Linked DNA regions of Canis lupus familiaris. The protein of the gene in region 1 purifies or fractionates together with the protein of each later gene. This does not show direct contact. Links are inferred from orthologs where the notes say so. Each region holds a gene or a part of one and is shown on either strand. Other genes may lie near its edges. The genes, in order: HAUS5 and HAUS2.

Evidence for each region.
Region 2: the proteins of HAUS5 (region 1) and HAUS2 purify together in Homo sapiens (affinity purification with mass spectrometry; 5 studies listed by BioGRID and IntAct, with this or other methods). This does not show direct contact. The link is inferred for Canis lupus familiaris from reciprocal best matches to the Homo sapiens genes HAUS5 and HAUS2.

Annotation. Positions count from the first base shown.
Region 1 is NC_049222.1:117,844,377-117,848,828, reverse strand, and holds the start of HAUS5 (HAUS augmin-like complex subunit 5), read left to right. Parts: upstream 1-1,478; 5' UTR 1,479-1,536; coding exon 1,537-1,634; intron 1,635-2,318; coding exon of another isoform or gene 2,319-2,339; coding exon 2,340-2,402; exon of another isoform or gene 2,403-2,486; intron 2,487-2,492; coding exon 2,493-2,525; intron 2,526-2,662; coding exon 2,663-2,687; intron 2,688-3,207; exon of another isoform or gene 3,208-3,309; coding exon 3,310-3,415; intron 3,416-3,492; coding exon 3,493-3,652; intron 3,653-4,452. Other genes in the region: uncharacterized protein LOC111090112, read right to left, coding at 964-1,100, 2,319-2,366.
Region 2 is NC_049251.1:9,798,460-9,802,273, forward strand, and holds part of HAUS2 (HAUS augmin-like complex subunit 2), read left to right. Parts: intron 1-2,263; coding exon 2,264-2,356; intron 2,357-2,683; coding exon 2,684-2,753; intron 2,754-3,814.

The DNA.
Region 1 (4,452 bases):
GCTTCTCCCTCTACCTGTGTCTCTGCCTCTTTCTCTCTCTCTCTCTCTCTCTCTCTGTGTCTCTCATGAATAAAAAAAAAGAATCTTTAAGAAAAATAAATAAAAATAAAACCCCTTGAAAGGCTCACAGACCAATGACAGACATGCTATCTAATCAACTTGTTTTTTAATAGCAAAACACCCCAGAAAAAGCAGAAGATTGACAATGTTTGAGCAAAATGGTACCTTTTGAGCATTAGGTATTGTGGAGTAGCAGCTGCCAATCTTTCTTCCAGGAAACCCACCTGGATTACATCAGTCCCTGGCACCCTCTTCTGCTTCTCAGCCCTTATGAAATATTTGAAGCTTGACAGCGTCTCCCCCAGATTTGCTATCCTAATGGTGACCCGATGGTCCCTTTGCCCTGGGCCAGCCACCTCTTGGATGTCCCTTAACTCCTCACACCCACAGGGTCCCACATTGTTATCAGCATCTCCCCCAAAGCTGTCCCTTCTCTCACATGCGCATTTCAAGGTCTGCTTCACCTAATCCCAGAGCCCTGGACCTCGCCCTGGACCTCTACTGCCAATCAATCTCCTGACCCACTCACTCAGTCCTCACCTCTCTGCTCCACAGCCCTACATGGTCCACCACTGCCCTCGGCGACCCTCCCTCATCCTGCTCCACCCTCCTCCTCAGACCCGTTTATTTTTACCCCAGCACCTCTCCCCTCATTTGTTTATTGAATGACTTCTTAGAGAGTCAGGCTTTGAACTGGACACAGGACAGAGCGATGACCTCGGCAAGCATGTTCAGTGATAGGTCACTGAATGTTGCCACTTCTCGGGGCCCTTGTCCGAGGCGGAGTGGGCTCTCTGGATCTCTAGCCCCAGGACCCAGGGCTTTCTGGGGCAGCTCACGGACCTCGCACATTCCCTGTCCCAAACCGACCCGCTCCTGCTGTCTACTTTCTACCGCCCCTACCTGGTGATGGTGAAGCGTCTACGTCCCCCAGGGGACCCGAGCTCCGCAGCAGGGACGCTGGGGCTGTCATCCACCGCGGTGTCCGCGGGGCAGGGTCGGCTCACGAATGTCATGGAATGGGAAAGACGAAGGAACACCTAGAAGAACGCATGGCGGGGCGCTATTAGGCTCATGCTGTCGGCCCCAACCCTCACTCAGACCTGAACCACCCTGTTGCTGACATCAAAGGGCAGTAAGTTTGGCATCTCCGTACCCGGCCTCGCAGGATGAAAGCCCCATTTTGTCACGCACATCATGGGAGGCATCTGGGAGCTTCTGCCTCTTAGGGGCCACTTGGTGGTGAGCGGGAGGACGAGGAAAGAGAACGGGCCTTGCCGCTTCTCCACACCCGCTTCATCTTCACTCAAAGCGACCCAAACGGGACGAGCGAGGGACAGGCAACCGCTCCGCGCCGCGGAGGAGCCGGGAGACCCCCGCCCGGCCGGCGGCAGCGTCACTTCCGGCGCGCTCGTGACGTCAGAGGCGGGCGCCGCACTTGAAGCGGGCGCGGGAGGCCGCCGCTGCGGCGCTGGCATGGAGTTGATGCGGGAAGCGCGGGAGCTGGGCTGCTGGGCGACGGAGGAGATGGGGGCGCCCGTCGCAGCCCGCGCCCCGGAGTCGACGCTGCGCAGGTGAGGGACGCCCCGAGTGAGGAGGACTCCCCGCCCCGGAGATGGTCTCCGGCCGTGGGAACCCCGCCCCTCCCTTCCTCTGCCCGGGTGAGGATGGCCCTTAAGGGCGCCCCTCACACACACACACACACACACACACACACACACCCAGTAGTATATCCAGGAAGGGGAGCCTGGATTGAGGGACGACCCCCTGACGGGGACCCCCACACTCCCACCCGGAGTGAGGGCCGAGGCGCCAGTGAGGATCCTCCAGAGTTCCTGAAGCCCCCTTCTTGTGTGGAAGTAAGATCTTTGGAGTAAGACTGTCCCTGCAACCTCCTACCACCCCCCACCCACCCCAACCGGTAGGGGGGCTCGAGTCAACAAGGACCACCCCATTGGAGACTGAATCTATAGGAGTGATGCCCCACATCGGGTAATGAGAGCACCTCCTGGCAGTACCCCCCAACCCCCTCCTCTGGAAGTGGCTAGAGATGGGCCTTCTCCCAGGAGAAAGGAATCACCCCACCCAGTGAAAGGCCCACAACTCAGCGACAGAGAACTCCCCAGGAGGGAATGTCTCACTCCAAAAAGTATGGGCCCTCTCTCCCTGCAGAAGGGAGAATTCCCTAGTACAGACTTTCCCCACCACCACCACCCTAGGATAAGGATGATGTACCCTGTGTGATGCCCGAGGCATACCTTTACACACTGTCCCCACAGACTGTGTCTGGGCCAGGGGGCCGACATCTGGGCCTACGTCTTACGGCATGTGCACAGCCAGAGGTGAGCCGGCAGCATGAGGGAGGCTTTGACAGGGGAGGGGACACAGGCAAGCCCCACAGTAACACCTCTTCTTCCGCCTCTCTGCTGTAGGAGTGTCAAGAAGATCCGGGGAAACCTACTGTGGTAACTGGTTCTAAAAGCTATTCCTTCCTCTTTTCCCTAGTCCCATCCAACTGTGTTTTCACCCATAGCCTCATACCTCCTGTGTCTCCCCCGCCCCAAAGTCTCTGTCATCCCCTAACTCTGGTCTCATTTCCTAGGTATGGCCACCAGGACAGTCCAGAGGTGAGAAGCATGCATGTGTTATAAGATTTTCTTTCATCCAAAAAGAGGACTTGTAGATTTCTGCTCTAGGCCCAGCCTTGTGCTATGTGATGCTGGGAATACTGGGTCACAAGACAGCCCTAATCCCCACACTCAGAGGGCTTATAGTCTGGGGGAGACAGGCATGAGCTGGGCGTTGAAGGGATATGAATATGAAGCATCAAAGCTGATGAGGTGAGCTGGGAGAAGGGACTGGTTTGGGAGATATACTGAGGCCAGTGTAGGACCTATTGTGTGCAAGGGGCCCCAGTAACATCTAGGGGAAGGCTTCCAGAAGACCTTGGGACCCCCTAGATGTGGGGCTCAGTGGGGAGGTAAGAACTGGGGCAGAGATGTACTGTCATCAGCGCAGAGACAGGAAACAGGAGGATAGGTGAGGCAAGCCCAGGAGGAAGGAGGCGGCCAGATGGTACCCTAGTGTTTCTCTAGGCCTAGAGAATCAGGCATAGAAATTACTTGTGATAAACCCTCTGCCACCTACCTGTGCAGGCAAGGAGACCGGTCCTCCACAGAGAGCAGTCAGGCTGGGTCAAGCCCCAACCAGCCCTATGCATCTAACTACCTCTGTACTTGTTCCCGCCAGGCCCGTCGGAAGCTGGAGCTGGAAGCCACTGTTGCTCGCCTGCGGGCAGAGATCCAGGAGTTAGACCAGAGCCTGGAGCTAGTGGAGCAAGAGACCGAGGCTCAGGGTGACCTATGGGGCTGGGAAGATGAGCAATGGAGTGGGTGTAGGGGAACTGCTGATGGCCACGTGTTTCTCCTATAGACATGGCCATGGAGCAGACCCTGCAGAGCATTCAAGACACCCAGCGTCGTGCTCTCCTCCTCCGGGCCCAAGCTGGGGCCATGCGAAGACAGCAGCAGGGGCTCCAAGATCCCATGCAGCGGCTACAGAATCAGCTGAGGCGTCTGCAGGACATAGAGAGGTGGGCCTCAGGTGCCCAGGGACCAGCCTTCACCAGGCAGGCAGACAGACATTTTCCTTAGAGATCCAGTGCTCTACCCTGACCCCTTCTTGGGTTCTAGAATTCTGAGCTCTACTCCGTAGGATTTGAAGTCTGTGAGGTCAGGAAGTTTTCTTATCTCAGCCACTTATTTTTCCAGGGCCTAGAATGGTGCCAACTGTATATCTAGGGAATGTTCTGGGGAAAGAACATTAAATAAGGGACAAGTCCCCACCCTTATGGAGCTTACACTATAATGCAGAGGAACCAGATGGTAAACTAGGGAGCAGGTGCTATAATTGCAGGGAAAGATAAATTCTATGATTAAAAAAAAAAAGGTGATATGATAATAAGGGAGAAGGAGATGCTACTCTGGGGAGGATGGTCAGAGAAGGCCTCTCTGAGGAGGTAACATTTGAATTGGGGGAGGAATCTCAAGGAGAAGGACAGCAAGAAGAAAGGTGCTGAGCTTAGCATCTGGGAAGAACAGCCCAGAGGCCAGTTCAGCTTCAGTTACACAGGCAAAAGGGAGAGCATTGGGGGGATGGGGGGTGGAAGAGGTGGACAGAGTGCCATATAGGCATTGGGATTTTACTCTGAGGCTGGGTTCATGTCTTAGCTTGGCCACTTACACCTCCATGACCTGGGGCAGACTACTTAACTTCTCTGTTCTTCAGTTTGTAAGTTCTATGGAATGGGGATAATATTAAATCTATTTTATAGGGTACGTGTGGGAATTAGGTGAGTTAAGTCATACAGAGCACTTAGAAGAGTTTTCTAAT
Region 2 (3,814 bases), on another chromosome or scaffold:
CCTAGTCCACGTTCTCATCTTCTCACCTGGAATGCTATAGTAACTGCTTGTCTAAATATTCAACCTTCAGTCCCATCTCTCACCTAGCTTTTTTGGTTTTTAGTGGTAGGTCTTTTTGTGGTAAAATACTCCTAATATAAAATTTACCATTTTAACATCAGTGTATAATTCAGTGGCATGAAGTATAGTCACAATGTTGTGAATCTATTTTCAAAACTTTTTTTTATCAACCTGATGGAAACCCCATACCCATTAAGTAGTCACTCTATTCCTTACTGCCCCCCCAGCCTCATAAGTTCTATTTTCCATATTATCCTTTTTAAATTTCTAAAATATGTATTATATATGAACATGTTACCTCGTCACCAGAAAACTTTGAATTACTCTCATTTTCTGCATTATAATTGTTTGTCATAGTTATCAAGATCTTTCATGATTAAGTAGGAAACTACATTCTCAGATTCATCTTCCCTTTCTTTTCACATATATATCAATACTAGAATATCTTTTCCTTCCCATCCATCCTGAATCTTCAATTGCCTAACTTAATAAATGCTAATAAAATGTGTTATCATTGGTCAGCAAATTTTTACTATTAAGGGCCAGAGAATAAGTATCTGAGGCTTTTAGGTCCATATAATTGCATCTGGTGTATAGTGTGAAAGAAGCCAGAGATAATAAGTAAATAAATGGGTGCAGTTGAGTTTATTCTGAATCCTGAAATTTGAATTTCATATAATTTTCATGTGTCACAAAATACTATTTTTCTTTTAATTTTTTTCTTCCCAGCATTTAAAAAATATAAAAACCATTCTTAGCTTATGGCCTATACAAAAACAGGCAGTGAGTGGGGTGCATTTAGTTCCTGGACTATCATTTTCTAACCCTTTTCCTATAAGATATGTAAAGATCTAAATATGCTAATATTCTTGAAAAGAACAAAAGAGCGACGCCTGGGTGGCTCAGCGGTTGGGCGGCTGCCTTCGGCTCAAGTCATGATCCCGGGGATTCGGGATGGAGTCCCCGCATCAGGCTCCTGTGAAGAGCCTGCTTCTCCCGCTGCCTGTGTCTGTGCCTCTCTCTCTCTGTGTCTCTCATGAATAAATAAATCTTAAAAAAAAAAAAAAAAAGAAGAAGAAGAAAAGAATACAGAGAAAATTACGGATGGACTCGGGATGAACAATATTCTTATTCTGAAGCAACCTGCAATTTAAGGAGGCAATATATGCAAGCAATATTTTGCATGAAATGAAAGGATAAAAAGGAGGATATAAGCTTTTTAGAAGAAGAATTCCACCTGGACAGAAGATTCCTTTAAGAGAGTGAGAATGTGGGGCACCTGTGTGGCTCAGTGGTTGAGTGTCTGCCTTTGGCTCCGATCGTGATCCCAGGGGTCCTGGGATCAAGTCCCACATCAGGCTCCCTGCATGGAGCCTGCTTCTCCCTCTGCCTGTGTCTCTGCCTCTTTCTCTCTGTCTCTAATGAATAAATAAAATCTTTTTTTAAAAAAAAGTGAGAATGTGAAAAGAGGCAGCCAATAAAGATCATTTAATGAATCAGATAAATGATTCCATGGTGGGAAACTATTTGATTTTAGCCCTCAGAAAGTCAGAGACTAGGTCTTGGTGATTTGTATAGAGGTGATTCTCCACCAATCTAAGCCTCAGCCTTCTTAACCTTACCAGCCTTCTCTGGTAAGCTGTCACTAATGTAAATATATTGTGCATAGTGCTTTAGGAAATAGAACACAGTGATTAAGTGTTTTTTGTTTTTCTTATTTTTTAAATATTTGGCCAAAGGACTTGTGATAGTGAATATTTAGTTTTTTGTTTGTTTTTTGTTTTGTTTTTTGTTTTGTTTTTTTTAAGATTTATTTATTTGAGAGGGAGGGAAAAAGAGAGAGTATCTATGGGTGCACAGAGGGGATGGGCGGAGGGGAGTAAAAGGAAGAGGGTAAGCATACCAGGCCAACTCCTCACTGAGCATGGAGCCCAAAGTGGTGCTCAGTCTCATGACCCCAAGATCATGACCTGAGCTGAAACGGAGAATCAGATGCTTAACCCACTGAGCTACTCAGGCGCCCAGATGGTATTTTGCAAACAGGAAATATACATTGCTACTGTTACACTCTGTACTTCTTTTTCCCCGGGGGCAGTGTTGGACATAATAAATCCTCATGTTTTAAGTCTGTGGGTTTGCTATTCCAGTGCACATAGAAACTTTTTGTGACTTACGACTGCTTTCTCTGTTCACTTACCAATAGGAGATGTTAAATATATCTAAGAAATCAGCACCTTACTTTGTGAACTTCTCCAGACTACAGCAGATCTCAAATATTCAAGCTGAAATCTACCAGGTAAATTATGTTGGACTTTTTACTTTCTAGTACAGGGAAAAAAAATCTTGATTCCAATAGCAGTTCTTTTGCACTTAGAACATTGTCTAGCACATAGCCAGATAAGTGTTTACTTATAAGTGATAGTAGGAGTTAGTAGTAGCAGTAGCAGCAATAGGGCTTGAACACCAAAATGAAAATCTTCAGTAAATCCCCTGGGCTATCATAACAAATCTTTCTCCCTCCCCACAAATATTCCTGGGTTAAAGACTATGCCTTTTTTACTAAAGTATAAGCCTTCAGGCACCATTCTACATGAGCTAAATGTTATTTTTCTTATTAATGTAGAAAAACTTGGAAATTGAACTTTTAAAACTAGAAAAAGATACAGCAGATGTTGTTCATCCTTTCTTTTTGGGTAAGTAGTTTGATGAAATAGTAATCATTGGAATTTCAACTTTTTCTTGAATAACCTTATATAAGCACCAGGCAATAAAATTATGATATACCGTAATTTTTCCAGGTATTTCCCCAAAGCTAATGAAGTCTTCTATTCCGTGCTCAAATAGAAGTCTTATTCATTTGACTAGTACAAATAGCATAAAATGTAACCAAGGTAGGAGCTCCTCAAATTCAGGAAAGCTTGAAAGACCAAGAAGGGCTGAGAAACTTTCCAGATTAAAGGAGACTAAAGGGACTCAATAGCCAAAGCATAGTATGGTCATGGACTGAATACTTGATTAGAAATTTCTTTTGCTATAAGGTACATTATTGAATTAATTGGTGATGTGTCTATATGGACTGTATTAAATATTGGTAGTATTGTACCAATTTTAAATTTTATGAATTTGATACTTGTAATATAGTTACATAAGAGAATTTTCCCATTTATGGAAATACATGCTCAGGTTTTAGGGGTAAGAATTTCATGTTATGTACAACTTAAGTGGATCAGCAAAAATACATGTACTGAGTATGTGGAGAAAGAAGAAATAAAAATGTAGCTAAATGTTAATAGTTGGTGAGTTTAGGTGAAATGTATATGGGAATATAATGAAACTTTTCTGTAAGTTTGACATTTTTTTCAAAATAAAATTTAAAAGTGGCAATTGGCAGCCAGTAACTGAATTCTGGGCAAAATATTAAAATGATCAGAAATAGTTTGTAAGACAAATGCTTATTTTTTTTTTTTTAATTTATTTATGATAGGCACACAGAGAGAGAGAGAGAGAGGCAGAGACATAGGCAGAGGGAGAAGCAGGCTCCATGCACCAGGAGCCCGACGTGGAACTCGATCCTGGGTCTCCAGGATTACACCCTGGGCCAAAGGCAGGGGCTAAACCGCTGCACCACCCAGCGTTCCCCAAATGCTTATTTTTTAATGTCCATGTAGAATGTTAGAGGCAGATAGATTTTATGTGAAGAATATGGCTCTGGCTTATAAAAACTGAACTAGGAGTAGAGTTGAATAATGCAAAG